4 linked regions of the Callithrix jacchus genome follow. The protein of the gene in region 4 binds, or shares a complex with, the protein of the main gene of each other region. Links are inferred from orthologs where the notes say so. Each region holds a gene or a part of one and is shown on either strand. Other genes may lie near its edges.

Region 1 (7,995 bases), on a different chromosome or scaffold from region 4:
AGCTGCAATTTAAAACCAGTACATGTCACTAAACTATACTGCCTCCTTCAACAAAGTTAAACATTCACCATACAGAAAAATTACAGATTCATTTCTAGCCAAACAGAATGTTGGGGGGAAAAGGTAGGAATATTTAAAAAAAGACAAACTCACAGTTTTTAGTTCCATCAGTACTTGTTCATCGACTCCATCATCCAGAAAGATGTCTCTCACATCATTAATGACATCTTCAATCACAGATCTGTATAATTTAGGCTTCAAGGGAAAAATAAAAGACTTGAAAAAGACAGTTTTTCACAGGTTATAATGTATAACAGAGTTTCACAAATTCAAAACAAATACATGTCATCTTTGCCAACTATCTATATATGACTTTCAAGATATGACCACCCTAATAGACCTCATTTGCCATAAACTAGATTTGATAACTGCATACTTTAATAAAAATTTTAAGATTAATGCAATTCATACACTAAAACTACAAGGTCCATACAATTTCCAATTATAATTTCCTATGTTGTAGTCAAAACACCTAATGTAATGTTCAAAAATAGCTGTACGGGTTGCTTATGTCTAGCTTCTACTATTTCGTGCTTGGTTTGAACTCTGCTGTATCTCACTATCTCACAACTAAATCTTAGACTTTGGAGAATGCTATGTACGGCAGTCATCTACCTGGTAATAATCTGCAACCTAATGAACAATCAGGTTTAAAAATCACCTAACTTCTGTTGAGTGACCGACCCAATCTATCCTTTCAAGCTGTATCATTAAACTATTCATACACTCATAATAAGAAGTCTGAACGTCCCAAGGAACAAGGAACACTGATTTCCTTCCCAGGATTTCTCCTCTACTACTGCCCAGGTAATGCAAAAGAACATTATAATGAACATGAATCCTCTAAATGTTTATTATTACGATTATTACAATTTGCATTGTTGGTATTACTTGAAGGCGGAGCGGGGAAGTAAAGGAGCTGGCTTCTAAAGGTTGAATGGTAAAATGAGCAAAATGAGAAGAGATGTGAAAGAACTTTCAGAGTATAAAATATTTTTTAAAAAACTCCAAGGTGAGAGATAAAACAATCAGCCCAATCCACATCCTTCTTTTTTTGTTCCCCATGTCCTATTTTTAACCTGTTAGAAAAAAGGAAGTCATGTCAGAAGACAAAACTAGAATTGCCTTGACAAAACCAGAGTTCCCTGGTTATAAATCCCCCATTATTACAGAGTTATGGTTAACAAGTTTTTTAGATGCTCTGTCATTACTCGTGTTTCATACCTTGCTTAAGGTAAAAGTTAATGGCTACCAAATAAAACCAAGGGTTTGTTCTCATAAGCAAACTTCAAACAGAAATATGTTTCACTACCATCTCTATCAGCAACACTGTTATCACAGTGGAACTGCTAAGAAAATGTGTCCTTGCCTTGTCAAAACTAGAAATAATGAGGGAAGGTGCAATGGCTAACACCAGCAATCCAGCTTTTTGGGAGGACTGCTTGAGCTCAGGAGTTTGAGACCAGCTTGGACAATACGGTGAAAAACTCTGCATCTACAAAAAAAATTAGCCAGGAGTGGTGGCTCGTGCCTGTATAGTCCCAGCTATTTGGGAGGTTGCGGTGGATGGCTTGAGCCCAGGAGGGAAAGGGTGCAGTGAGCCAAGACTGTGCCATTGCACTCCAGCCTGGGTGACAGGGCCAGAGCCTGTCTCTGAAAACAAAACAAACAAAATACAAATAATAAATTTGTCAGTACAATTTACCTCAACCATTAAAAACTATTCACTCCTTCTCATTAAAAGAAAACCAATTCAAATATCTGGGTTCTTGCTTTACTGTTCCACTCACTCACTAACCTCTTTATTTCGCCCAATCTGCCTCTTGAAGCTTAAATTACTCATCTGCAAAATGAACATTTCTATCGTCCCTGCTTTAACATTCATTCTGTTTCTACATATAAGGAAAGTATATGTGACTATGGACATCATCTTAACTAAATTAATTTAACTGCTGAATTACAAAAGTATCTCTATAGTGTTTTGTTTTTTAATCAATAATGACTCCTCAAGGCATTAGAAGGGCAATGTATTTTAAATTGGGAGCATAAATCTCAAATTGACAATACATAATGCTTTTCAGTAAACTAGATGGTGTGGTGTTCCTCAAATCAGTTACCTCTAAAAACCTTTTGCTTGGAGATCCAGAGATATATAGGTATAAATTTGCTTTCTTCTGGTACTCCTCTACTTAATGAATCATTCTTTAAGATTTTATTTTTGTGCCTTAATGAACTCACAACTTGATCACTTAACAGCTTCATAAGCACTATAGTTTAAAGAAGGGAAACGTGTATGCTTCACAAAGTATATGCCCAATGAATAATTTAGAATTGTTCACAATTTGAAAAGCACTCAAGACACGAATTTTTGAAAACTATGTGGGCACATAGGCATTATTTGAAATAAGCAATTTATAAACTAGTACCTAAAATTCTTCACTCTATTGAGTCAAAGTTTCCGTTTCTCACGAAATAGTTTAGGTTTGTCCTGATTTTTAAAAAGACAGGTATTTCAAACTTGAAAACTGGTTTATCAGAGGGCCACTAGTGGCATTATTAAGTGATTTCTTAGGAGGTTTCCTTCAAAAATGTTAATTCCCTGATGCAATGCTGAAAAATAAATTGAAATAATTTTTATACTGGATACTGTGTTAATAATATCCAAGGCGATAAAGTTCTACTTAACAGTTTTTTAAAATCCAGTTTGCACTAAGTCTCTTCCCTCTAATTACTCACGATTCCCCTACACATAAATGGTCCTATTCTGAAGCTTCAGGCACTTATCTATTTCTCTGAAAGGCCTCGTGTCTTTTAGATTTACTATAGAAAAACATAATGAAATATTAGGAGCTGTATTTCTAACCTGTTTCCTGAATATTTGAACAAAATACAACAAAAACCAAGTCCTCTGCAGCTAACACTTTGTAGAAAGCAGTTTTTTTAATTCCTGAAAATAATGCACACAGGAAAATCACTAGACTATCTGATCAAAAATTCTTTGTTTTCATATTTTGAAAATTGTAAATAAAAACGGACAGCGATTCGGATATATTTCCCCTAACAAACAAAAGAAGGTAATTCCTAGCTGCTGCTAGGAACAAAACAAAAACTTGGGGCTCTGAAAGCAGCCCCCGACAGGCGCGAAATTACAGCGTGAAAAAAGGACCTACAAATAAACTGAGCTCCGCACGCGCCTGGCTCTCGCCTCGGGAGCACGCACCTCCCAGCCCCGCTCTCAGCAGCTCTCACTATTTAAAGCCGGATCTGGTGTTTAAATGGAGAGGCGGTGACGTAGGCCTGAAAAGCACCTACCCATCCTGGCAGAGTCTATATTAGAGAGCGGCAATGGCTCTATATAAACAGGGCAGCCAAAGGGAGGAGGACCACAAAGCTCAGGGACTGAAAAGCAGGGTAAGCGGCCGCAGCCATGATGGATCGACCCGAGTCGCCAACGGTACGGTGTCGGGCGGCCGCGGGCTAGTCTGCGGCATTTGGGACCGGGCAAAAACGTGTTTTATTGTCATATAAAAATAAGAGTTGGGGGGACTAGTGATCACATTGCGTTGGTGACTGAAAAGGTTATTTATGTGACTGCTTTTTGCAAACCTACGTGATCGCAAATAACCAAAAAGGGACCAACGGGAAGAAGTAGGCAAATTTCAAGGCGAAAGCAGGGACACTTGGACCACTGTAGGCTTTTTTTGTTTGTTTTGGTGCTTTTGCTAGTCGAAGATACGATGGGGGGGGGGTTGCTTCCCCTTCGCCATTTTACCCATTCGGAAGGAACTGAGATAAGTGCTTTTCAAACAACCTTAGTCCTTTTTTTAAACATAAAATGGCCCCAGTGAAGGTTCCCAAAGCACAACTGCCAGGAAAAAACCTAAGTAACCCCCAAAAGTAGCCATTAATCCTCCACTGCATTAAAGTGGATCACGGTGGGTCTCAGGGGTTCGCCCGATTCCCCAGACACGGTTTTTGTTCTTAAGCCGCTCGGGGAGCCATCGTCTAGCCAGCGCGGACGGGCCCCTCGGGGGGAAGCGGCGGCTCCCCTCACGCCCTCCCTCCCGGGGGCCGGGTTCTGGGGCCGGGGCTGCGCGCCCGCCCGGGCCCAACCGCCTCCGCGGCCCGACCCGGCCCGCGGCGGCCCCAGGCCCCGCCGGCGCCCCCGCCCTCCCCGAGCCGCGAGCCCTCGGCGCCCCCCCGCGCCCGCCGCCCGCCGCCCCGGCCCGATCCGCCCGAGGCGGGAAGCGGCGGCGGCAGCGGCGGCGGCCGCGCGGGCGGCTGAAGAGTCGAGGCCGGGAGTCGCCGCCGTCCCCGCCCCCGCCCGGTCCGGCCGTTGCTGCCGCCTGAACGAAGCCCCCGCCGGCCACCGAACCACGTCCTTACCACGGTGTTTGTATTTGCCGAGTTCGCCATTTCCACACACAACACAAACAAGAGGGGGCAACCCCAAGAAAACAAGATAAAAACAAAACCAAAAAAAAAAAATACTAAAACACCCGAGGGTGACCCAAGTCACCGCAAGATTGGGGAAAAAAACTTAAACAAAATCAATCCTGAAGGAGTAGGGGAGAGCGGAGAGGAGGAGGAGGAGGAGGAGGGGGGCACTCCTCCCGCAGCTAAAAACCTCGAGAATCGTCTTTTTAAAAAAAAATCCACGACCCTTAAGGGGTCCGGGGGCGTTGCCCGCTCCCCACCCCGCGCCAAGGAGGGAAACCACCACCGGTCACCGCTCCCTGCGCCGCCGCTGCTGCCACCGGCTGCAGCTCCAGCCGTCCGGTCCGCTCGCTTCTCTCCTTTATATAGCGAGCCAACAAGCTGCGCGAACCGCCGCCGCCGCCGCCGCCGCTGAGAGACAGGGTGATGGGGGAGGGAGGGGTGGAAAGGGCGGGGGCAGAGGTGGGCGGGGCTGAGCGCGAGACACCGCGAGAGCCGCGTGCGCAGGCGCGTCGGGGCGGAGGCCGCCGCGAGCCGCGTCGTCACGCGCGGTGGGGGTGCTCGACTGGCGGAGCTTGGGTAGTGAAGTAGTGAAGTCGGACCTACGCCTCTCCAACTCTCGCGTGATCACGTGGTTGGCACCCAGGCGGAAGTCTGCCGCAGTTCTTTGCGGTGAAGTACTTGCAAAGCGTTTCTGGAAAAGGCGCGAGTTCTAGTGACATTCCAGTCCAAAGCTAGGTGGGACCGCCTCCTGTCGCACGTTTCCGCCCGGTCCCGCGCTGGAGGAGCTAGGAAATGAGACAAGCGGTAGCGACTGCCTCGCTAGGAATGGCCGCGGAGAACTGGTCACGTGGTGCGGCTTCCGGCCTCTGGCGGGTTCCGATTCGGGACGGTTTTAAATGCGGAGTCATCTCTTGATTTGTCAGCGAGGCTTTGACTGTGAGCCTCGGAGCGTTCGCTCCTCGCCGAGGGTGGGTCTTTCGCGGGCAGAATTATGTAGAATTTCCCAATGGGAGTAAAAGCCGATTGGGGCCCACTTTCACATTCCAGAGTTACTAACCTCTGACTTGGTTTGTTTCCACACTGGGTCCGCTACGAAGACCAGGCTTACTTAGGTTACCCAGAGATTAGTTCCCTACTAGCCCACGTACTTTAAATAATTTGTCACGGTGGTGGAAATGCGGTGCGGGGAGTAGGGGAGACAACCCCACCAGCCTTTGGATTATAACAGCACAATAACTTTCCCTGGTTTTAAAAAATACTGCCAAAATCCCACTACTCCGCATGGCCAACGTGTAGTGACTGATCACATTGAAACACATGCCCTTGACCCAAATCGCTTGGCCTCTAGTTATAAGAGAGCACGGCGGCTGTGCCCGTGTCTTGAAGTGCAATCCAATAAGCTTTTGACCTCCTCTGTCCAAACAAATCCTGCCTTTATATCAACATTACAAGCAGAACGGAGCCCCTGGAATTTTGAGGGACCTGAAATGTCATCTGGATGAGTGAAGGAGTTTGTCTTCCAAAGACAGAGCAAAACGAAAAGTTCTTTGCTGGTGAAACCAGATTTGAAGAATGTCAAAGGCATCTTACCAAAGAGAAAAAAAAAAAAAAAATGCAGCCTGCCAACACCTGAAGAAAGGGATTAGAGAAAGCAGGGGCCTTTAATACGCAGAAAATGGGAGATTATCAATGGGTGTGGAGAATATCTATGAACCTTGAGATTTATTTTCACACCAAATCCATTCCCCTCTTAACAATTACTTCCAGTTACCTGCACAGCTGCATGGTCTGGAACACTTAAAGAAAAAAAATCACAGGAAATCAGTGTTCTTAGCAATGTAAAATTGTGATTCAATCAACATTTGTGATTTATTTAATATTCAGGTGATAGCCCAATTGTAAAGTTACACTAAACAATACCATTCCTGGTAAATTTTACTGCATATTGAGAGGACTTCTTGTTACCTCCCTATATACATACTCCCAAACGCTTTGTACATGGAATCCCTCACCTTCCACTTAGTTTTCTCCCCTACCACTTCGTATTCTTGATAAATGGTTGAGTAGTTTTGCCATCAATTAAGGTTGAAACCACTGCCCTGGACATGGAAGAGAAGCTATGAGATTTGCTCTTCACAGAATTAATCGGTGAAATAGTGGAATGTAGTTATTGGATTAAAGTGGCACAAAACCCAATCCTGGCCTCCTTAAGTCCATCACACTCCCTGGAGGCTCTGAGTTAGGTTCTTTCTTTACACCTAGATTACAAAAAGACCTAAGCACTTGGTTAATATTTACCCAAGCACTTGCATTAGATGGTGTGTCTGGCATCCAGCCATCATGGATTCCACTCCAATATGTTGGTTTTCCAAGCCCTCAATAGGTATTACATGCCTTCGTTGTAACCTATGTGTGCCATCCAGTTTAGTTTCAGAGAGAAATGTTTTCTGATCTTGCACCAAAATTGTCGGACTGAATACTTGGAAGCTGCAGGCCTTTAATTCACAAAACTGAAAATTTGTGAGAGAAAACTTCTCCCAAGTAAGACTACATTTAGCATCATATTTAAATTGTTTCTATCTGAACTTTTTACTCTTGGTCTCCTACAGCTTAAATGATGTTTCTAACTTTAACAGCAATTTCTACTATATAGGATTTGCTATTTGTGATCTCATACTTTGTAACAGCCATGTATTTAGGGAGATGCATAATAGTACCCTCTTTGTGATGAATGTTTGTGTTGTGTGTTTTTTAACTTCAAAATGATTTATGTTGGGAGATAAAATGTTGCATCTTTCTTTTAATATGCAGCCTAAACACTAGATAACTGTAAAACAAGAGAAGAAAAGGAAAAAAAATCAATGTATAAGTTTTGCTGTACCATCAACAAAATGACACCAAACCTTATATGTCCAAACATTTAAATGTTTTACAGTCCAAATGACTATTTCTAGCAACAACGCCAAGAAGAAAAGTCTAAAAAGATTGTGAAAATTGGCTTAAACTAAAATCTCATGACTTCCTATCAAACTTCATTTTCTTAAACAGTGAAGAAAGAGAAAAAAAAAACAGTTTCGAGGCACATTTATGTCCTCATATGCTCAGTAGTAGTGGGCATTTTGGAATGATACAAAATTGAAGAAGAAAGATGCCTCAAGCTCACTAATCATTTCTTTCTTTTTTTTTTTTTTTCTTAAAATGGAATCTCGCTCTGTCACCAAGGCTGGAGTGCAGTGGCACAGTCTCAGCCTACTGCAGCCTTCGCCTCATGTGTTCAAGTGATTCTCCTGCCTCAGCCTTCCAAGTAGCTGAGATTACAGACAAACGTCACTAAGCCCAGACAATTTTTGTACTTTTGGTAGAGACAGGGTTTCGCCGTGCTGGCCAGGCTGGTCTGGAACTCCCGACCTCAGGTGATCCACCTTCCTCAGCCTCCCAGAGTACTGGGATTACAGGTATAAGCCACTGTACCCAGCAAGTTTACTAATCTAAATG
Region 2 (8,013 bases), on a different chromosome or scaffold from region 4:
AGGCTAGATACAGAACAGCAAACCAGGCACTGAGACTTCAAAGTCTCGAGACCCAGAGTTTTGTTCTTTTCTTTTTTTGAGATGGAGTCTCGCTCTATCATCAGGCTAGAGTGCAGTGGCATGATACCAGCTTCCTGCAACTTCCGTTTTCCGGTTTCAAGCAATTCTCCTGCCTCAGCCTCCTGCGTAGCTGGGATTACAGGCATGCACCATCATGCCGACTAATTTTTTTTTGTATTTTTTGTAGAGACGAGGTTTCACCATGTTGGCCAGGATGGTCTTCATCTCTTGACCTCATGATTCATCCGCTTCGGCCTCCCAAAGTGTTGAGATTACAGGCGTGAACCACCGCACCTGTCCCAGAGTTTTGTTCTTTAAGATGCAATCTAGCCACCTTTTTTTTTTTTCCAAATTAAAACGTAGGTTTAATGCAATTTCAATCATCATGCCAAAAGGATTATTTTGGAAACAGACTAAATTATTTCAAGGTTATTCTAGAATAGGCAAAAACAACAACAAACAAAAATGAATGTGGGAAGGGATGGGAGAGAATAGAAAGGGGAGTAAAATTATGTGACTAAGGCGGCATCAAGCATCATTGGGAAAGGAAATAAACAGTGGAGAACTGTTTAGCTATTTGGCAAAATGAGCAGACAAAAAAGCTCAAAACAGAAAAGCAGCTAATTTAGATCCTCACCTCATAATATGCCTCTCCTTCCAATGAATTCTAGATGGATGAACCTTAAAACACCAAGAAAAACACAAAACCCCCACAAGAGAAGTCAATGTTTAACAAACCCAGGGGTGAAGATTAAACTTAGAATTGGAAGAAACAAAAGGAAAAAAAATTGATAGCTGACATTCTGTGCATGTGTATCCTCTGTATTTAAAAATAACACTAAAAGGCCAACCAGGAAAATGTTTATGTTATGACAAATGAATAGGAAAATAAGTACATCAAACCTAGAGTCTTCAAAAGACAACAGAAAAGTGTGTTTTGAACTGCGGGGCTCCAGATCCCATCCCCTTTGCTTTTCCCCTAGGGGTTTATTCTCATCAACGTACATTCAAGTCTTTCACATTAAAATAAAATTAACAAGAACCTGAGCCCTCACCATGTCCTTCCTCAGCTATCCGTTTGCTCATTATTACAGCAAATCTTTTCCAAAGGCTCCATTCCCACTTCCTCACCTCCCTTTCCTTTTTCACAGTGCTCCATCTGGCATCTGCCCCACCACTCCATTAAAACAGCTCTCATCAAAACTGCAATCTTCATCTCGGGCCAGTTCTCAATCAGTGCCCAATACAGCCCACTCATCCCTGTGAAACACTTCCTCCTTTGGCTTTCCTCCCTCCAATCGCACTGGCTATTTTCTTCTTAGTTGCCTTTGTTGGTGTCTCCTCTACCCAAACTCCAAATTGGCACAGTACAAAAGGTGGCCCATTAGTCAGGTCACTATAGACTCCTTGAAACATGGCTAGTCTGTGAGATGTGCTATAAAATTAAAATATGCATTTGACTTTGAAGATGAAGATTTCTTTTGAAGACTTAGTACATGTTGAAAGCACAGTGTTTTGCATTTACAGGGTCAAACAAAAGAAATTAACTTCACCTGTTTCATTTGACTTTCCTCTTGATGCGGCTAGAAAAAATGTAAGCCTATTATCTGTGGCTCGCATCAGATTTCTATTGGTTAGTGCTGTTCTAAATGTTGGTGGTGTCCTCGAGTTCGTCTTGCTCCTCCTCAGCCTTGCCATCATGGAAACAGTAACATTATCCACGCCCATCACGGAAACAGTAACATTATCCACGCACTGGCTCATATTAGAGGCACAGAAAGGTAGACAGCAGTATTTTCAGACAATGGGAGTGTCCATAGAGCAGGATTCCCAGGGTTCCTATACATTAGATTGCTTTGAGGAACTTACCCCTACCCATTATGGTTTTTAGTTTCTCCTTTGTACTGTATCTAAAGGAATTTAAGAAACCCTCCCCATCTGGCTCTTTTGTTTTTCTCTTTTATAAAGTCCACAGTCTGTAATGGTAAAGACGTAAGCAAGTTCCTAAACTCTTTCAGGCCCTAGAATTCTAGTCATGTTTGAGGAGAATGCAAGCACTGTTTCTCTAAAGATTTATCTAACAAATATGCTGCCTCTGATCATGCCAGTTCCATCAATTCAACAGAAGAGACTGAAATCTGTCCCAGTTGTTATACAAGAAAACTGAAGTTGGGAAAGCAAAAGACTTGATTTCATGCATATCTTAAAAACAGTAGGGTTCTGGAAAAGATATACATGTAAGTCAAGATTCAATATTTAAACTTCAAACTCATAAAGCATCAAAACTACTAACCATTCTATAAGCACTCCTTTCAAGACGTTGACCATCTTTTCTCAGTCAGAAGGTTCAGATGACCTCAAGAATGCTAATAAAAAGAAAAAGGTGACATTAAATTAAAAATCATTAACTTTCATATATTTTGGGGATGTGCCTCTGAAATGAGGCAACATATTAAACGTCAATATTTAACAGTTAAGTCTATGAAAGACAGTTAACATTAAAGAAAAGAGACATACTGATTTTGTAACAAAATTAAAACGAGTCTGCTTGGAATATTAATGCCACATCTTACTTGCTAACTATTCTACCCACGGTCAATTAGCTCTAATAGAAGCAAGCGGCCTAACTACACCAGTGTACCCAATCCAGGTGTAAACCATCCAGTAATCAAAGGATTTCTTTTCCCATTCAGGATAATGACAAAGGGTAAGATCCTGAAAAACAGGAATCAAAGAAGACACTTCTGAAAGGTGCTTCAGAAATTACAGTGAGCCCAACCACCTCATTTTATTGAGACAAGGTCTGGCTCTGCCGCCCAGGCCGGAATGCAGTGGCCCGATCTCCGCTCACTGCAGCCTTCGCCTCCCAGGTTCAAGCAATTCTCCTGCCTCAGCCTCCCGAGTAGCTGGGACTACAGGAATGAGCCACCAAGCCTGGTTCATTTACTGTATTGTCCAGGCCAACACAGTGAAACCCCGTCTCTACTAAAATATAAAAAATTAGCTGGGCGTGGTGGTGCGCGTCTGTAGTCCCAGTTGCTGAGGCAAGAGAATTGCTGGAACCAGGGAGGCGGAGGCTGCAGCGAGCGGAAATCGCGCCACCGCACTCCAGCCTGGCGCCTGGCCACAGAGGGAGACTCTGTCTCAAAAAAAAAAAAAAAAAAAAAAAAAAATTTACTGTATTGTATTTTGTGTGTGTGTACATATATATATATATACGCATATAAAAAGATATATATATATATATATATATTTTTTTTTTTTTTTAAATTTGAGACTGAGTCTAGCTCTGTCGCCCAGAGTGGAGTGATCTCGGCTCACTGCAATCACTGCCTCCAGGGTTCAAGCGATTTCAGGCTGGTCACGAACTCCTTATCTCAAATGATCCACCTACCTCGGCCTCACAAAGCGCTGGGATTACAGGCGTGAGCCACCGCACCCGCCCAATTTATTGTATTTTTATTGGAGCTGGGGGTTTCACCATGTTGGCCAGGCTGGCCTCGAACTCCTGGTCTCCAGTGATTCGCCCGCCTCGGCTTCCCAAAGTGTTGGGACCGCAGGTGTGAGCCACCGCACCCGGACCCAACCACCTCATTTTACAGATGAGGAGACCAAAGGAACAAATTAAGTCCTAGGTCCCGGGAAAGTTAAAAAAAAAAAAAGGACAAGCCAGATCTCGTGCTCCTTCATTAAATAAACCACATCCCCCGCGGACCTAGGCTGGAAGGCAACCACTCAGCGTCCGCCCACTTAACCTTCCACTTACACCTGGGTGCAAAGCGAGCCGCCCCACAGGAAACCCACGATTAAAAATGATTGCGGGACCGGCGTGCAGCTCCGCCAGGAAGGGCCCGGAGAGAGTGCAGAACACCGCCCTGTGCCCCCAGCACCCGGTGGACAGGCTTCTGGGACTTTTCTCTTCTTCCCCTCTCTCTTTGGAACCCCTCAGTCTTCCCGCACCCTACTATCCCCACCCGCTCCAACGCTCGCCACACACACCTCGGCCCACAGATGCAAAAGCGCCTCGGCGTCGCCGACAGAGTGCGCCTGCGTCTATACGTCATCGCGCTAGGGACGCTGTTGAGGGTGGAGCGAGCCGGCGGGAGGCAGGCCCGCAGCGGGCCGAGGGGGCGGGGTCGTGAACCGCCCGCCGCCTGGTGGAGGGCCCGGGCCCGCCACCGCAGAGAGGGCTCCCCAGCCTACGGGGTGCGGCGAGTGGTTGGAAACTGGCCGAGTCCGCGTGCCGGCAGGTAGGACGTGGAGGCCCGGCTGGTGTGGGGGCGGACGGGGGCGTCGGCGTAGCTGGGCGCGGTAGGCAGTGGAGAGAGGGGAGGGCGGGGGCCTGGCACGGCCGGGCACCACTGTGAGGCGCGCGGACCCGACCGATCCGCGGACGCTCTGCGGAGCGCGAGGGCCTCTTTCTGGTAGTCGCGAGCCTGACTCGTCTTTCCCGGTCGCTGCCTTTCTCTGGCTGCTGTCGAAGCCTCGGGGAGTGCACCTGCCAGTTGGTCTTCCCGGGCTCGGTAGTCACGGAGAGATAATGAGGACAAGTAGGAAACCGCCTCACCGGTCACATCTGAGCCTTCCCGACTGCTGCTTCCTGCTCCCTCTCTAACCCCATAGATTGAACAGATTGAATGCCGAGACATCTCTAAAACTCGGCAACAGTCATTTTAAAGTGAAAGACCCCAGAAGGTTCTAAAGTTATTCTCTTACCCCAAATCTGTTCTGCAGTCTAAAGGAACACTCCTCATTATTTTTACTAGTTAAGATATGAGGTTCTTGTTTTCTGTTCCTTAGATTAAATTCTATTTCCCCAATTAAGCTCATGCTGCTTTTTTTTTTTAATCTTTTCTTTTTGGAGATAGTCTCGGTCTGTCGATCAGGCTGGAATGCATTGGTGCGATTAAGCTCATGCTGCTTTTTTTTTTTTTCTTTTCTTTTTGGATATAGTCTTGGTCTGTCGGTCAGGCTGGAATGCATTGGTGCGATCTGGGCTCACTGCATCCTTGGTCCCCTGTTCAAGCAGTTCTCCTGCCTCAGTCTCCGTAGTAGCTGGGATTGCAGGCGTGTGCTACCACGCCCAGCTTATTTTTATATTTTCAGTAGAGACAGAGTTTCGCCATATTGGCCAGGCTGGTCTGGAACTCCTGACATCAGGTGATCCGCCTGCCTTGGCCTCCCAAAGTGCTGGGATTACAGGCGTGAGCCACTGTGCCCAGCCTCATGCTGGTTTTTTATTTTTATTTTTTAACATTGTGTTTATTCATGTGATCTCTTGGGAACCCAGCTCTTCCATTTAGTTCCCTCTTTCTGTCCCTCAAATATTTTCCAGCTGGTGATTTCTGTATTGTTGCACTCTCTTTACAATAACAAAATTGTCTCCAAGTCTTCTTCTTCCCAATAATCTTTTATTTGCTTTTTTTTTTTTATCTTGCAATACATTCTCTTCCTTGACCTCTTAATCAGTTCCATTTTTATGCACCTGATGTGTACCAGCTATTCTAGGCACTTGGGGTACAATGATGAATCAGAAACTAATTTTGGTGGGGTCAGAGAGACACTGAAATCAGTTAAGGAGAAGGTACCATTTGATGATGTGATAAAGAGTAACTAGAAGGGTTATTTTGGCCAGGGGTATGTCAGAAATAGCCTTCAGGAAGAACTTTGCATTTAAAAACCTATATACCAGTAACAACTAGGAGTTTTAATAATAAAAAGACACTATTCATAATGGCATTCACAACTAAAGGTATCTAGAAATAGATCGGTCTAAACTGTGTGGTCCTTTAGACAGAAAAGTATAAGTTTCTGTTGGAACACAAGATGACCCAGGTAAATGGTTACATATACCATATTCATGGATGGAAAGACCCAACAAGAAGATACCAGTTTTACCAATTTCTGTGAATTTAGTGTGATGCCAATTAAAATCACTGTATGGTTTTATGGAACTTGACATGCTGAACTTAAAATTTATATGGAAAGGCAAAGGACCAAGAATTGGGAAGTCAATTTTGAAAAAGAAGAAAAATAAGGTCTGTCCATATTAGATACCAAAGCTTAATATGAAGTTGTAATTATCAAGATGGTGTGGTATTGATTCAGGGATAGAGAAGTAGGTTCATGGAACAGAACAGAGAAACTAGAGACATACCTATTTACATATGGCAGCTTAGTATACCACTGAGTGGTGTTGCAAAGCAAGGGGAAAGCATAGACTATTCAATAAAGGATGGTAAGATATGTGAGATATGTGGCATCATTATGGAATACAGCAGATAGGATTAGATTCTTGCTTTCAAACTATTGACAACAGTAGTTTCCAGGTAGATTAAAGATCTAAATATGAATGGCATAGCTGCAAGATATTTGAAAAGAAATAGAAGAGACCATTGTCTCTGTGAAAGATTTCTTTTTTGTTTGCCTGTTAAATCTTGTTACACATAAGATTCATCATGTTAACCATTTTGAGATGTTGAGTTTGGTGACATTCACATTGTGCAACCAGCACTACTATCTCCCAAACTTTTGTTTAAAATCTTTCTGAGTAATCTTAAGTTACAGAAAGGACCATTGAGGTGACATTTTATTACTCCAAATGAAAGATGATGGTGGTTTGAGCTAGACAATAGTGTAGCAGTGAATACAGAGAAAAATGGATGGATTTTGGGGTACGTTTTGATGTAAGAGAAGAGAAATTATGCATGATTTGGATGTAGTGCAAGGGGAAAACAAGGAATCAAGGGCAACATCTGTTTTTTTGTTTAAGAGGAAGATTATTTACCATTTACAATAAAAAAGCATTGACCATTTGGTGGATGGTGATCGAGAAGATTTGTGGAGGAAGAATTTGGGGAGAAAAATAATTCTCTTTTGGATGGTTAAGTATGAAAAGTCTACTGGACATCCAAGTGGAAATGTTCCAACAGCTGTTGGATAGATGGGTCAGGAAAGACTGTAGCTAGAGATACTCTTAGATCTGGCATATAGATATTAAAAACTGTGATGTGGGCCGGTTGTGGTGGCTCACGCCTGTAATCCCAGCACTGTGGGAGGCCGAGGCGGGTGGATCATGAGGTCAGGAGATTGAGACCATCCTGGCTAACATGGTGAAACCCCGTCTCTACTAAAAATACAAAAAAATTAGCTGGACGTGGTGGCACGTACCTGTAATCCCAACTACTCGGGAGGCTGAGGGAGGAGAATCGCTTGAACCCAGTAGGCGGAGGTTGCAGTGAGCCGAAATTGCGCCACTGCACTGTAGCTTGGGCGACAGAGACGCCATCTCAAAAAAAAAAAAAAAAAAAGAACTTTCAAATATTTGTTAGAATTAGATTCAGCTATATTACTCAGAAAACAAGATAATATTGGCTTAAATATGTATATGATTGCATAGGTAGGCAGCCTTGCTTTTATGGCAGTAGCTCTGTAATCATCAGGGACTCAAATTCTTCTATCTGGCTGCTCTACCGTCCTTAATATGATGCTTCATGGTAAGATGACTGCTTTAATTCAAACTGACAGTTACTCATTCTAGCAAGAGGGAGGAGGGAAGGAGAAAGAAAGGCACATAGCCTTATTTTTAAGGACACTTTTCAGAAATTGCATATGACACATCCACTCATATTTCATTAGCCAGTGTTAGTAAGTGCCCACAGTTAACCAGAAAGAAAGATGATGTAGTCTTTTTTGTTATCTGTGTACCCAGCGACAATTCAGGTTTTATTAATCAGAATGAAGGGATGAAATGATGTTTCAGTCTGGCTGCTGCTTCTACCAGGGCAATGAAGCTTCTGTTATGAAGATCCCAGTGACCTCCATAGTGATAAACTTAATGGTATTTTTGAATATTTGATTTTTAAATTATCTGTTCCATTTTACTTTCTCTGTCTTTGTCTCCTCAAAATTTCTCCTCTGTTCTCTACTTAAAATCAGTGTTTCAGATTTTAT
Region 3 (7,911 bases), on a different chromosome or scaffold from region 4:
CTTGAATACAGGAGGTGGAGGTTGAAGTGAGCCAAGACTGCGCCATTGCACTCTAGCCTGGGCAACAAGAGTGAAATTCTGTCTCAAAAATAAAATAAGATAAATTTTTATTTTGCTCTAAATATCAGTGAGACAACTGGCAAAATGTAGGTAAGGTCCATAGATTAAATAAGATCACCATAATCGTGATTATGTAAAAAAAATGTCCTTATGTCTGCAAGTGTTTTTGTTTTGTTTCAGGGTCAGCTGGACATGGTGGCTCATGTCTGTAATCCCAGCACTTTGGGAGGCTGAGGTACATAGTAGATCACAAGGTCAAGAGATTGAGACCATCCTGGCCAACATGGTGAAACTCCCTTTCTACCAAAAATACAAAAATTAGCTGAGTGTGGTGGCGTGCACCTGTAGTCCCAGCTACTTGGGAGCCTGAGGTAGAAGAATCACTTGAACCCAGAAGAGAGAAGTTGCAGTGAGCCAAAATCGTGCTACTACATCCAGCCTGGTGACAGAGTGAGACTTCATCTCAAAAACAAAAAAAAAAAGAAAAAAGAAACAGGGTCTCACTTTGCCACACAGGCTGGAGTGCAGTGGTGAGATCTCAGCTCACTGTAGCCTCAACCTCCCACGCTCAAGTGATCTGTAAGTTACTCTCACCATGTTTCAGAAAAAAGTATGTACAAAAAGGAAAAAAGACAAAGAAAACGTAGTACGAGATAATATTTTCAGAATCTGCGTGAAGTGATTAAATGATTTCTTTGTGCAACTTTTAGGTCTGAAATACTTTAAAAATATATAAATAAAATAATAAATACTCTCATATAGCATATTTATACAGAACATCTATTTATCAAGAATAAGCAGAAAATCTACAGTGTCTTTTCAAGCTTATTCAGTTTGGTCCATAGTTACCTGATTACAATCCAGCATGCTTCTTGCCACAAATCCGGAGTGATTTCATCATCATCCTCATCATACTGCATATCTGTAAAAACAAAATATTATACTCATTTGCAACAAGATGCCACTTAGTTAACATCTTGCTCCTACGACTTTACATATGACTTTAAGTAGCAAAAACATATTTTCTTTCTGCTGAATAAGTAATCCTTTCACCCCACTTTTCTAAATTTCAATTACATTAATAAAATAATTTATGTCTGCCACACAGGTATTCTTTCAATACACAAAGAGGCTTACTAGAAAGGTTCAATGTAAGTTGTATGAATTTTAAGTTTTCCATTTTATTGATCAATAAGATTTTCAGAGACTAGAGTCAGAGAACAGGGTAAGGGGGCAGAGCCATGGAAGGATTCCAACAGCTGGGCAACACCCTAAGGTGGGGTGATCTATTACAGCAACATTTCATACATGTACAGGTATGAAAGATTGCATTTTCCAAACATGCCACAAGCCTATCTCCCATCCCACATGGTCTTCTATAAAGTGATCTTAATACTCCTATCATCAGATATAGTGGTCTATGCATCCTTTCTCTGAATCTGGGTAGCCTTTGACTCTCCTGTAACTAGGAGAATGCAGCTGAAGGTCAGGCGTGGTGGCTCACACCTGTAATCCCAACACTTTGGAAGGCCAAGGCGGGCGGATCACCTGAGGTTGGGAGTTTGAGACCAGCCTGACCAACATGGTGAAACCCTGTCTCTACTAAAAATACAAAATCAGCCAGGCATGGTGGCACATGCCTATAATCCCAGCCACTTGGGAGGCCAAAGAAGGAGAATCACTTGAACCAGGGCGGCAGAGGCTGCAGTGAGCCAAGATTGCACCATTGCACTCCAGCCTGGGCAACAAAAGCAAAACTCCATCTCAAAAAAAAAAAGAATGTAGCTGAAGTAATGCTGCAATGCTGCATGACTTCAAAAGCAAGATCAGAAAAGGCAATGCAGTTTCTGTAATGTATGTTAAAACACTTGCTTCTGGAGCCCTGAGCTGTCATTAAAAAGTCAGACACAGGCCAGGCACAGTGGCTCAGGTCTATAATCCTAGCACTTTGGGAGGCCAAAGGTGGATGGATCACTGGTGGGAGGTCAGGAGTTCAAGACCAGCCAAGCCAATATGGCAAAACCCAGTCTCTACTAAAAAATACAAAACTTAGCTGGGCATGGGGGCACATGCCTGTAATCCCAGCTACTCAGGAGGCTGAGGCAGGAGAATTGCTTGAACCCAGGAGACAGAGGTTGCAGTGAACTGAGATGGCACCACTCCTGCCTAGGCAACAGAGCAAGACTCCATCTTAAAAAAATTTTTTTTTTTAATTTTTAAGTCAAACACTATTCTGAAGCTGCTACATTCTGAGGAAGCCCAGACTGTAAGGAGAGGCCACTTACAGGTACTCCATTAGCAATTTTAGTCCTTGAGTCCTACTGGGATATGTCTCATGTCAGACATGAGTGTCAATACTATAGATCTGTCACCCAGCTGTCAACATTCAGCCTTAATGACTTCCCAAATGAACAAGATTCACAGTGGAACACAGGCAAGTCATGCCTGTTATGCCCTGTTCAAAATCTTGACCTACAGTATCCATGAACATAACAAAGAAATTTTTTAAGTAGCTAAATTTTAGTGTAGTTGTACAATAGTAATTTACGCATTCAAAAGAATCAGTGTGCATTGTTCCTCCAATATTAGTCCAATCTTCTTATGTGAAAGAAGAAGTGTGCTGTATTTTTGGGGTTTATTCTAATGTACACAAATATAGCCTGTAAACCTTAAGAGCTTTGGGTTCAAAATCTGATACATATACAAAATAAATTTTTAATAAATCCTTCTTGAATGGACTGAAATTATCAATCCTTACACATGGGGAAAGGGTAAGAAAGACAAAACTATCTATGATAGCTCAGATATTTCTAGCTTTGATGGGAGATTAAAAGCTAGTATCACTGCCACAGAGGAGCAAGTAAAATGGTAGAAGAAAGAGGTCATGATTAGGTCGGCTTTAGAGATATCTGTAGATCAAATACACACGTGTATGAATATAAACTCAAATGAACAGTCTAAATTATAAACAAAGAACATGTGACACATAATCAATATACACTGACACATAACAGACGTAGATCTATTATGTATCAATAAACGTTTTAAACTTTGAAAAAAGTACAGAGTTGGAATCATTAATAAATGAGCAATAGAAAAAGGAGATTTTACACAGAGAAGGAAGACTGAAGGCAGGGTACTTGGGAACACTTTTGTTTAAGGGTCATATGAAAAAGAAAACGAACCCATAAAGGAGACTCATTTACTCATCCATTCATCAAATTTTTTCTGAGGCAGGACGCAGTGGCTCACGCCTGTAATCCCAGCACTTTGGGAGGCCAAGGTGGGTGGATCCCCTGAGGTCAGGAGTTCAAGACCAGCCTGACCAACATGAAGAAATCCCATCTCTATTAAAAAAAATTTTTTTAATTTAGCTGGGTGTGATGGCACATGCCTGTAATCCCAGCTCCTCGGGAGTCTGAAGCAGGAGTAATGGCTTGAACCCCGGAGGTGGAGGTTGCGGTGAGTTGAGATCACACCGTGCCGAGATCACGCCATTACACTCCAGCCTGGGCAACAAGAGCAAAACTCTGTCTCAAAAAAAAAAAAAAAAAAAGTTTAACTTGTTTCCATGTGGATGACAGAAATCCAACACTTTCACATAGAAAGAAGCCAGCTGAAAAGGAGTCGCTAAAAACTGATGAGGACATACCTAATAAACATTTTAGATGACATGGGCACAAATAAAATGTAGCTTCACTGCTAAAGCAACTCTGATTAACTCTTGTTTTCCCACAGGATCATTATACATGACCAATAAGAATACAAAATTAGAACAGTCACCACTGTGGTGGTCACTTGCCACCATTTAGCAAAATCTTAAAGGTGCGTATCATCTGACCTGACAATTTTATATGTAGGAATGTATCCTAAAGACATATTTGGGCAAATTATATGTACAAGATTATTCACTCTCAGTACTGTTTTAACGGAAAAAGACTAGAAATAAATCAAATCAAATATCCATCAAGACACTAAAGTTACATCCACACAAACTATTTAGCTGGGGGCGGAGGCAGGGGCGGCAGCAAGTGATGCTCTCTGTGTACTGACAAGAACATCTCCATTAAGCAAAATCTAAAAGTGGAGTAAAGTGTAAACGTTACTTTCTGTCCTTAAAAAAAGAAAACAATCCCATTTATATTTGCTTAAATATGCATAAAGAAACTGTAGAGGCTGTGCGCCAACGCCTCAGACCTGTAATCCCAGCACTTTGGGAGGCCGAGGCAGGTGAATCACTGAGGTCAGGAGTTTGAGATCAGCCTAGCCAACAAGGAGAAACCCCATCTCTACTAAATGTACAAAAATTAGCTGGGCATGGTGGTGCACGCCTGTAATTCCAGCTACCTGGGAGGCTGAGACAGGAGAACTGATTGAACCAGGGAGGCAATGGTTAGTAAGCCAAGATTGCACTACTGCACTCAAGCCTGGGTACAGAGCAATACTCTGTCAAAAAACAAAAAGAAACTGTGGAGTGATAAGAACCTATTATAACACTAGTTGCCTACTGTGGTCAACTGGGCAGATGGTAGATAAGAAGGAGACCTAACACTTTTAACTTTTTTTTTTTTTTTTTTGGAGACGGTCTCACTTTGTCCTCAACTTACAGCAGTGTCAACTTCCCAAGCTCAAGTGATCCTCCTGCCTCAGCCACCCAAGTAGCTGGGACTATAGGTGAGCACCACCACACTCTAGCTAATTTTTTACAGAGAGGGGGGTCTCCCGTGTTGCCCAGGCTGGTCTCAGTTGTTAAAGTAGCCACCGTATTTTAACATTTTTAAATTTTCTGGTTTGTGAGCTATGAGAATATATTACCTAGCCAAAAATTATGCTTTAAAAAATCTTTTTTTCTATTTTTCTTCTACTGAGAGAGTAGTTAACAGGGAATATGATGATGCTAATACATTTCTGGAACACAAGATATTAATGAGAAAGAAGTTTAAACAGCTTTAAAAGTTTAAGCTTTTGGGCAGGGACAGTGGCTCATGCCTGTAATCCCTGCATTTTGGGAGGTCAAGTCAGGCGGATGGCTTGATCTCAGGAATTTGAGACCAGCCTGGGCAACATGGCTAGACCCCATCTCTTTTAAAAAAAAAAAAAAAAAAAAAGAGGCGAGGTAGCGCACACTTGTAATCCCAGCACTTTGGGAGGCTGAGGTGGGCAGATCACAAGATCAGGAGTTCGAGACCAGCCTGGCCAACAGAGTGAAACCCCTCTCTTCTACTAAAAGTACAAAAATAAACTGGGTGTGGTGGTGGGGACCTGTAATCCCAGCTACTCGGGAGGCTGAGGCAGGAGAATCGCTTGAACCCAGGAGGCGGAGGTTGCAAAGAGCCAAGATCGTGCCACTGCACTCCAGCCTAGAGCTAGACTGAGTCTCAAAAGAAAAAAAAAGTTTAAGCTTTTGCTTCAATTTTTTCCATCTAATTTATCAGAAGTAGCTGAGGAAATAGAGATGTAAGGGGTAGCCACAGAATTAAGAGCTAGAAGAAAATAAGGTTTGAATTAGTAGATACGGAGAATGGAAAAGGCAGCTATGGAAAAGGCAGCTACGAAAATACACTAGACTCGACTAAGAATTTTTTTTTTTTTTTGAGATGGGTGTCACTCAGGCTGGAGTGCAGTGGTGCAATCTCGGGTCACTGCAACCTCCGCCTCCTGGGTTCAAGTGATCCTCCGGTCTCAGCCTCCTGAGTAGACGGGAATCCAGGCGCAGGCCACCACACTCAGCTAATTTTTCTATTTTTAGTAGATATGGGATTTCCCCCATGTTGGTCAGGCTGGTCTCAAGCAATCGGCGCGCCTCGGCCTCCCAAAGTGCTGGGGTGAGCCATTGCACTCAGCCACTACTAAGAAATCTATATGCGCAAAGAAAAAGCTATACACTGGTCCGGTGCAACAGAATATATATCATCTGAGAACTGTGGCATTGTGAGAAGAAGGTTAAAGGCCATCCTTTAAGACAATTTCACTTACAAAAAGCATGAAGAAATGTGAGACTAAACCGTTTCGCCCCCCACCCCCCTCCTCCGATAGTCTGTCCCGGTGTATTTCCAGGGCCTTCCGCATTGCCTTGCACATGCTGACATCAATTGAGCTATTCAGTAAATCGACTGTGGCTTTTAGGATAATTTTTAAAGGGTGCCCTTTGCTTCAGACAAATTCAAAACAACGGAATTTATCTTACGGTTCTGCACGCTACTACAATACAGGAGGCGGGGATTAGATCTAACGGAACGAGAAAGGGCAGAGAGCAGCAGTGAACCTAATCAGCAACATTAATGCTATGTTCCCTGCACCCTCTGCCCCTCCCTAGCCTAGTTTCGTTCCCGGCGTGGAAAGTATGGTAACAAGGCTGGGGACCACGCGGCCGGCGCGTGGGAAGGCCCCAAATCCTCCATCCGACCACTTCCCCACGCTTCCCTGCTTAAATGGACCGCCATGGCGTGTGTTTTGAGTGTTCACCTACCCTCATCCGCGTCGTACATACTGCCAAAAGATTCCCGAGTTCCTAACTCTAGAAACCGAAAAGACAAAAGAGCGCACAGAAGCCACCAGCGTCTGGAGCTATAGACGAATTAACTTCCGTCTCCAGCGTTCCCAGAATACTATGCGTCTCACACGAAGGCCGCCCACAAGGACGCCAAAGTTAGGATCTGCGCCTGCGCAAAGTGTAGGGCGCGCTGGGGCGGGCATTAGAGTTGCCTACGCGCAAATTGTGTGCCGCCGCTGTTGGTGGCTGATTGAAAAGACAGCTCTCGCAATCTGCGGTCGGATCCGTCCCGTGAATGTTTTATTTCTGCTTGTTTTTTAATGTTGTTGCACAAATAACGACAGCTGAAAACAAAACCAAGTATAGTTATTAATAAAAAGTGTTCGTTCTGTGAATCCGCGACATTGGGATGTTAAATTTATTTGCCTTTTTAAGGACCAAAACAACACGAAGCTATGTTTTATTTTTATTTATTTAATTTTTGAAACGGAGTCTCGTTCTGTTGCCCAGACTGGAGTGCAGTGGAGTGATCTTCGCTCACTGCAACTTCTGCCTCCCAGGTTCAAGCGATTCTCCTGTCTCTGCCTCCCAGGTAGCTGGGATTACAGGCGCGCGCCACCATGCCCAGCTAATTTTTGTATTTTTAGTAGAGACGGGGCTTTCACCATGTTGGCCGGGCTGGTCTCGAACTGCTGACCTGAGGTGATCCACCCGCCTCGGCCTCTCCAAGTGCTGACAGACGTGAGCCACGCGCCCGGCCGGAAGCTCGTTTTTAAATGTGATTTATTAAGGGCTGCTTGTGATAGCAGTGAGGCGTTAAAGATGGTGGAAAGTGAAAAACCGGCCGGGCGCGGTGGCTCACGCCTATAATCCCTGCACTTTGGGAGGCCGAGGCGGGTGGATCACGAGGTCAAGAGATCGAGACCATCCTGGTCAACAAGGTGAAACCCTGTCTCTACTAAAAATACAAAAATTAGCTGGGCATGGTGGTGCGCACCTGTAGTCCCAGCTACTCGGGAGGCTGAGGCAATAGAATTGCTTGAACCCAGACGGCAGACGTTGCGGTGAGCCGAGATCGTGCCATTGCACTCCAGTCTGGGTAACAACAGCGAAACTCCGTCTCAAAAAAAAAAGAAAGTGAAAAACCCAAAGCACACGCAGATCTCTTCCGCCCACCTAGCTTAACCCTCCGGTGCCTTTGCGGCAGCTTTAACTAGGTTCTCAGTCTCAGCGCTTTAATCGCGAGAACACACGGGATTAGACAGGAGAAGAACCAAGACACCTCCCAAGTACCCACGCGCTTTAGTCTCGGGTCTCGCGCGCCTCGGGGCCTAGTGAGCGCGCGAGCTTGTGGCTCC
Region 4 (7,347 bases):
TGCTTGGGAGTCTGAGACAGGAGAATCACCTGAACCTGGGAGGTGGAGGTGGCAGTGAGCTGAGATCATGCCACTGCACTCCAGCCTGGGCAACAAAGAGAGACTCTGTCTCAAAGGAAAAAAAAAAGGCAATTAAAAACAAATCAGAAACAGTACCAGTCTAGCACCTAGATTACTTACCCTACTGAAGAGACAAGGGTTAAGAGACCCAGGCTGATGCAATCAGGTGTCTGAAAGAAGCTAAATAAACCAGTTACAAAAAGCCAAGCTTCAAGTAAGATACAGCTCTGCCCTGGAGTCTCTTCTGGCACAGCCATCTCATTCAATCTGGCAGGCACTGTCACAAAAACAAAAGACCTCAGCAAAGGAGACACAAGTCTGTTTCAGGGCAGTACCACATATATGAAAAACAAGGTTTGGGGAAAGACACATGCTGCGAACAAACACGTGGCAGGTACCCAGAATTCTCAGTTGCATATAGATTCATCAGACCCTTATCCACGGGCTTCCTGACCCTGAGGTTCCAGTCATCAGGCACCAGAAGGTGACGGGCAGACCACATTTGGTTCCTATACATAAGACAGGTTGGGGTGGGATGGGAATGAGAACACCCTCCTTACTCAGAATTTTACTTTACAGCATGTACATAAGTGCTGTTAACAATCTCAGAATTCTAATGTTTTGCTGCTAAAAGCAAATCATATAAAAGTTGTTTTTCTTAATGGATAGGTATTTCCTTGCTTTGTTTTAATTATGTAACATTTTCTTCAATTTTTAGCACTTGCTACTTATTTTGATTGTTTTTCCCTCATTTTTTCCCCCTGCAAACACTATGGCAACTTGGGCACTTGCTACCTCTTGGTTGGAAGCATCCAGAAGCAGCTGACAAAAAAACAGCTTTTCCCTGTGCTTAGTTTACTAAAGCTTCTTTTTTTGTCTAGTGGTCTTGATGGTATGAGTTTGGATTGCCTAATACATAATGTGTTGTGCTAGAAAAAACTTCTAACATATACACGTATTGTTTTCATTTAAAAATTAATTAAAGAAAAAAGAAACAATTAAATGACCCAGGAATTGGAACCAGCCTTTTCTGTCTCAGCTATACCCCTGTGCCCCTCTTATCTGCTGATATCATTTGCCATGTGATGGTCAATACATGTCTGCTGGGTGAGTAGTGAAATTCTGGGGGCAAACCAGTTTTGAGAAGCTTATAATCTGACTGGGGTAGACATATCTTGAAACTATGGAAAGATATTTAATTTCTAATTTTCTTTTTTTTTTTTTGAAATGGACTCTCACTCTGTCACCCCGGCTGGAGTGCAATGGCGTAATCTTGGCTCACTGCAACCTCTGCCTCCCAGATTCAAGTGATCCTACTGCCTCAGCCTCCTGAGTAACTGGGATTACAGGAGCCCACCACTATACTTGGCTGGTTTTTGTATTTTTAGCAGGGATGGGGTTTCACCATGCTAGCCAGGCTGGTCTCAAACTCCTGACCTCAGGTGATCTGCCCTCCTCGGCCTCCCAAAGTGCTGGGATTACAGGCATGAGCCAGCCTAATTTCTAATTTTCTTAAAAGCAAATAAAAGAAACATCAACTGACCACGATTCTGCATATTTCTCATTTCAGTATCACTACGGTAAAACAGGCTAATCATGAAAACTGCCATTTCACTACAAGCTTACATGCTCTCCTTTTATTAACACTGAGTACGAACACGAAACACGACCACCTGTTTACAAGAAAAACACCGCGTCGTTCTTTGACAATTTTTAAGTAAGGAACTTTGGCTTTTTATTCCTTCTATGAGTTTCTACAGCTGACTGCCTTTTTCTTTTTTGCTATACAATCCTCCTTGGATCTGCATTACCTCAGCTCCTCAAAGATAACAGGAAGGTTAGAGAGCCCTCATTTAAAAAACATTTCCTAACTGTACATGTTTAAAAGCTAATACTTAAGAAAAACCCTCTTAATCCTCTAACCCCTATTCCCATTGTGAATAATCTGGTTTAATACAAGTGAAGTCTATAAATAAATTTGTTCTTTCTTCTCAAAACAAAACAAAATAAAAGAAACCAGTTAAGAAACTTTACAAGAATTACAGGTTTAAAAAATTTACTGAGAGAAATGAAAGTAGGGTCGTCGCTTCACCCCTGTTAACATACGGTGTTCAAGCGCCTTTTGCTCAGCATACTGCTAGTGGTCTCACTGGCATGCAGGCCGGGAGGCACCTCAGTCACTCTTTTCTTCTCCTTGATAGTGTCTGTACTCTGGCTTCAGCTCCCACGTGTTTTTGTGGATCCCTTTTACATTCTGAACTCCAATTTCTTTTAAGATTTCCTTCAGGTACACCTAAAGCAGAAACAAAAAAACCCTAATAAATGAGATTATAAAGGCAGCAAACAAAACTTAAAATAAGATGCTATGCCAAAGCACGTATGCAAGTCATAAAAACTATGCTCCCAGCTACTCGGGAGGCTGAGGCAGGAGAACTGCTTGAATCTGGGAGGCGGAGGTTGCAGTGAGCCGAGATCGCGCCACTGCACTGCAGCCTGGTGCCTGGAGACAGAGCGAGACTCTATCTCAAAAAAAAAAATGCTCCTAAAAGCTCAGCAAGATTGATCTATAAGTAAACTGCCTTTTGATTCCACATGTGTGATATGATCACTGCACTAACTATATAATCATTTGCATTAAAGGGGATAAAAGTCCTGAATGCCAATGACTTAAAAGCTAAAACAAACACAAAAAACATTAGCTGAAACACATGAAAATATTACTGGTCCTCACTCAGTGTGACACAGTACACCAAGTGTAATCTGCCGTTGAGCTCAGCAGCCTCAAGGACTCAGTTTACAGTCAGATTGAAACCAGCAGTTTCAGGGAGCAACAGCATACATAAAAAATGACTAACATTTCTGAGAATATTCTATCAAGCAGGCATACGACAGGTATTCAGAAACCTCAGTTCTAAGGTGAGTTCTCAAATTTGTTATTAGGCCACTTATTTTTTGTCATTTGTATTTACTGCTATTTGTACTTTAGCCAAGCTTGCCACACAGAGAAGGGAACAAGAAGTGATAATCAGGTTGGGCACGGTGGCTCATGCCTGTGATCCCAGCACTTTGGGAGGCCGAGGTGGGCGGATCACCTGAGGTCAGGAGTTTGAGACCAGCCTGGCCAACATGGTGAAACCCTGTCTCCACTACTAGGGAGGCTGAGGCAGGAGAATCGCTTGAATCCAGGATGCAGAGGGTGCAGTCAGCCAGACTGCACTCCAGCCTGGGCAACAAGAACCAAACTCTATTTCAACAACGACAACAAAGAAGGGATAGTAAGACATCTTCAAAAACTATCGGGGATGCAGCTTTGTGTTTTACTTCTACAAAGAAAAGAATCTGTATGATGGTGTTTTAGGTCCCTAAAAATTCAACAAACATTTACTAAATGATTAATGCAGTCATGGAAATAATGGCTATGTTAAGTGTAATATGAAACTCCACCTTTGCTTGCCAATGCTCAAGGCCAAAAAGCATTCCACAATAAGCTGCCCAATACAAAGTACAGATTTCCTTCTTAGAGAAGGAAGGAAAGTTAATTATTTTGTGTGCGTCTGCTTCAAAGAACCAGCTGCAGTATGGTGATGACTCATCCCATTGATGAAAGATAACTTTTCTTATTGATTGAAACGAGGCATTAATAAGAACAACGGCTGAGAAGCTCTTGCCTGGATATCTCAGGAGTTTTCTTCTCTTCTGCAGTGATGCTAGACGACCTGTATCAGAACCTTGTGGGAAGCCAGTTAAATAAGACACATGTTGGGTCTACCGAATCAAAGTCTTTGGGGCTAGGCCCAGGAACCTGCATTTTAACAAGTGCCTAGGTGACTCATGTGACTACATACTGCATCTGGTTTACGGTTCTTCCAGCTCTGAAACTCTAGGATCTTTGAGTCCTTAGTGTGTTTTCATTCTCAGGGCCTCATCACTGCTGGAGATGAGGTGTCACCAACATAATGTGACACCACTTTACAGTGACTGACATAACGCTCTAGAGTTCACAGTGTCCTTTTGGTCAGGGGTAGACTGTCACCTAGAAAGTACTGGAAGTCAGGGGTAGACTGTCACCTAGAAAGTACTGGAAGTCAGGGGTAGACTGTCACCTAGAAAGTACTGGAAGTCAGGGGTAGACTGTCACCTAGAAACACAAAAGCTGGCTAGTACTGGAACTACACAGAGGTTGAGGTTCATTCAGGATGGCTTAGCTCGCTGTTGGGCAGCCTTCCCATTCCATCAGCCGGCCCCAGCAGGTGGCAGCAATGGACCAAAGGAGCCCTGGGTTCCCCTGAGGCTTGCCTGCCTCCCACACCTGCGGTTGGCTTCACTAGCAGACCCGTGTGAATGAGTAAGCATAAAGGCTTGAAACATCCAGGTAATATAAAATGCAAGTCTGCCACCGGCAACAGCAGTTTTTCAAATTACATTTAAAAAACAGGACACTATTCATAAACGATTTTCTAATTGAGCAGGGTTTACAAATGGAAAATGATCGGTTGGAGACAAATGATTCTCTGTTTAGGTGCCAAGAAGGACATCTTTGTAAAATTCCAAAGAATGTTTTATTGTGAGACTGGCTAAGACGGTGCCGCACAACCAGCCACACACTGTGGATGCACAGGGTCAAAAGCGAAAAGCCACCTCCAGGAGCACTGTGGTAGCCCCACAGAGAAGACCTCTCCTGACTTCAAGTCTCGAGGGCCCATTTATAATCTAGGCCCAGAAAATGAAAAGCCTAAAAAGGGTTAAACACAGAATACTGAGAACGTATTAAGAGTACAAATTCAGTTGCTCTCATGTTCACGCTCATTCTGGTAAACTGGTAGAATATAAGGAATTATTTTTATACAAGAAGGTGTCATTCTTTTTTCCGTGTAACAGTAAAAATGGAATGAGATAATCCTGGTCTGTCAATTTTTCAAGCAACAAAATGCAATCACGGTCACAATCTACTGTGACTAGGGGGTAGGGGACACACAAACTTCCTGATTTGTAGGATGTTCTAAACTGCAATCTAAGACCTTTTTCTTTTTTTTGAGACAGCGTTTTGCTGTTATTGCCCAGGGGGGAGTGCAGTGGTGCGATCTCAGCTCATTGCAACCTCTGCCTCCTGGGTTCCAGGGATTCTCCTGCCTCAGCCTCCCCAGTACCTAGGATTACAGGCATGTGCCACCACACCTGGCTAATTTTTGTATTTTTAGTAGAGACGAGGTTTTACCATGTTGGCCAGGCTGGTCTCAAACTACCGACCTTAGGCAATCCACCCATCTAGCCTCCCAAAGTGCTGGGATTATCGGCCTGAGCCACCACACCCGGCCAAGACCATTTTACTGTAATCAAATAAATAAATTATCTTGGCAGGGAAGCAGGTACAAAGCATTAGCAGAGAAAGCAGTAGTGATGATAGGGAAAAACAAGAAAAAAAATCTCTAAAGGGAAGAAGACATGGACAGCAAACAGAGACAGCATGTCCTTCCTCTGTCTAAAATGTTTCAGTGACTTCCCCCTTTGGCCTGCACATTGAATTCCAAACGCCTTCGCAGGCATCCACTCAGGTCGGCCTTCTTCCCTGGGCCTCATCTTCCAGCACTCCCCCTTACACACACTTCCCATTTCCGTACCTGCTTCTGGGTTTTTCCATATGCTATTTCCCTTCCTTGTAATGTTTATCTCCTTTCCTCATGCTTTAAGACTAGGCTCAAACGTGACTTTCTCTAACAGCCTTACCTCGGATTCACATTTCACACTGCACATTCTTCCATGGTAGCTCTTACTATATTATAATCCGTTATTTACATGCCTTGCTCTTCATCTAACCCACATGCTCCTGTTGCAGTGCCTGTGTGCACGTCACAGAGACTCAGCGTACTCATGCGGAGTGAACAGGGTGTGCTTACGACTAACAAGGCAGCTAAGAGGATGCGGGGTGGTGGAGAATACCACTAAGAAGGTCCATAAAAACAGACCACTCAATTCCAGTTTATTTTTAAAACTCAAGCAGTGACCTAGTTTGAGAAACGAAAGTTTACTGACTTAACTGTTACAACCTGAATCTGAACGGCATTTACTATTAAAATCTGCATTTTAGTGCTAAAATGTTGCTGGTGACAAAGCCAATTGAAGCAGAGGTTTTAAAGGTTCTACCAGGATTGAAAATTATTTGGTAATCTTATTTCTCTTTTTGAAATTCCTGTATCTATATTCATTCAAATATTTACTCCAGCACCGACAATGTGCCGGGTAGAATGATAGACAGTCAGTCTTCTTCCCAGAGTCCATGGTTTAAGATTAGTGCATGGGATGGGGGCCAAGAATAAGGCATATTAGGCCGGACGCGGTGGCTCACACCTGTAATCCCAGCATTTTGGGAGGCGGAGGCGGGTGGATCACCTGAGGTCAGGAGTTTGAGACCAGCTGGCCAACACAGAGAAATCTTGTCTCTACTAAAAATACAAAAATTAGCCGGGCATGGTGGCATGCGCCTGTAGTCCCAGCTATTCAGGAGGCTGAGCCACGATAATCAATTGAACCCGCGAGGCGGAGGTTGCAGTGAGCTGAGATTGCACCACTGCATTCCAGCCTGGGCAACAGAAACAGCACAAAACTCCATCTCAAAAGAAAAAAAACGGAAAAAGAGAAAGGCATATTAGCAGGTAATTAGAAAATCGAGTTAGAGGCATGTGTACAGAGTATGATGAGACCACTGGGAAGGGACACCTAACACAGCCTGCATCAAGATGTTTGAACATTTGATTTGAACAGCAATTCTGAGTACAGATCTGGAGAAAGGAGTTCCCCTCCTATGACTTACTCCTTCCAATTAAATCTTTGCTCTAACCACCTGTATTTTAAACAAAGGATTCTGGAACTGAGTAGATCGTCTTTATGTCACATAGGATTGGGTATACGTCTCATTACGGACTATGTGCCGTGCTGCAGCCCAAGACAGAAATAAGCTGGCTCAGGTCGTCCAGCAATTCTTCATCCAAAGGATGTGGGAGAGGATTTACAGCTAGTCCGAATGCAGAGAAGTGACAGAACATCACAGCTTTCTTGGAAGGAAATGACCAAAGAGGTCAAGTCATTAGGATGTTTGTTTGCATTTGTGGGTCAAGTTAAAACTACAGTGGGCAAAAAGCCAGAAATCCATGGATCAACTTCCTAATTGGCCCCCAAGACGGAGACAAACTGTCATACGGCACGGTGGCCTACTATTTTAGTCTTTTGCTCCTTTCTTCCCTCCCGCCACCACCTACCATTTCTCATATCATCTTTTCCTCTCCTGCTCTG

What was found.
Region 1: GTF2F2 (region 4) and GTF2A1 share a complex: the UniProt entries of both Homo sapiens proteins name them as parts of the TBP-based Pol II pre-initiation complex. The link is inferred for Callithrix jacchus from reciprocal best matches to the Homo sapiens genes GTF2F2 and GTF2A1.
Region 2: GTF2F2 (region 4) and GTF2H5 share a complex: the UniProt entries of both Homo sapiens proteins name them as parts of the TBP-based Pol II pre-initiation complex. The link is inferred for Callithrix jacchus from reciprocal best matches to the Homo sapiens genes GTF2F2 and GTF2H5.
Region 3: GTF2F2 (region 4) and POLR2B share a complex: the UniProt entries of both Homo sapiens proteins name them as parts of the TBP-based Pol II pre-initiation complex. The link is inferred for Callithrix jacchus from reciprocal best matches to the Homo sapiens genes GTF2F2 and POLR2B.

The regions. Positions count from the first base shown.
Region 1 is NC_133509.1:116,180,154-116,188,148, forward strand, and holds the start of GTF2A1 (transcription initiation factor IIA subunit 1), read right to left. Parts: upstream 4,918-7,995; 5' UTR 4,477-4,917; coding exon 4,447-4,476; intron 3,515-4,446; exon of another isoform or gene 3,441-3,514; intron 2,671-3,440; exon of another isoform or gene 2,487-2,670; intron 256-2,486; coding exon 154-255; intron 1-153. UniProt on the Homo sapiens protein: TFIIA is a component of the transcription machinery of RNA polymerase II and plays an important role in transcriptional activation. TFIIA in a complex with TBP mediates transcriptional activity.
Region 2 is NC_133505.1:164,987,525-164,995,537, reverse strand, and holds the start of GTF2H5 (general transcription factor IIH subunit 5), read right to left. Parts: upstream 4,072-8,013; 5' UTR 3,455-4,071; intron 2,427-3,454; 5' UTR 2,389-2,426; coding exon 2,354-2,388; intron 1-2,353. Other genes in the region: protein SERAC1, read left to right, coding at 4,072-4,310. UniProt on the Homo sapiens protein: Component of the general transcription and DNA repair factor IIH (TFIIH) core complex, which is involved in general and transcription-coupled nucleotide excision repair (NER) of damaged DNA and, when complexed to CAK, in RNA transcription by RNA polymerase II.
Region 3 is NC_133504.1:139,812,250-139,820,160, forward strand, and holds the start of POLR2B (DNA-directed RNA polymerase II subunit RPB2), read right to left. Parts: upstream 6,648-7,911; 5' UTR 6,549-6,647; coding exon 6,530-6,548; intron 983-6,529; coding exon 910-982; intron 1-909. UniProt on the Homo sapiens protein: Catalytic core component of RNA polymerase II (Pol II), a DNA-dependent RNA polymerase which synthesizes mRNA precursors and many functional non-coding RNAs using the four ribonucleoside triphosphates as substrates.
Region 4 is NC_133506.1:164,480,557-164,487,903, reverse strand, and holds the end of GTF2F2 (general transcription factor IIF subunit 2), read right to left. Parts: intron 2,354-7,347; coding exon 2,234-2,353; 3' UTR 1,830-2,233; downstream 1-1,829. UniProt on the Homo sapiens protein: TFIIF is a general transcription initiation factor that binds to RNA polymerase II and helps to recruit it to the initiation complex in collaboration with TFIIB.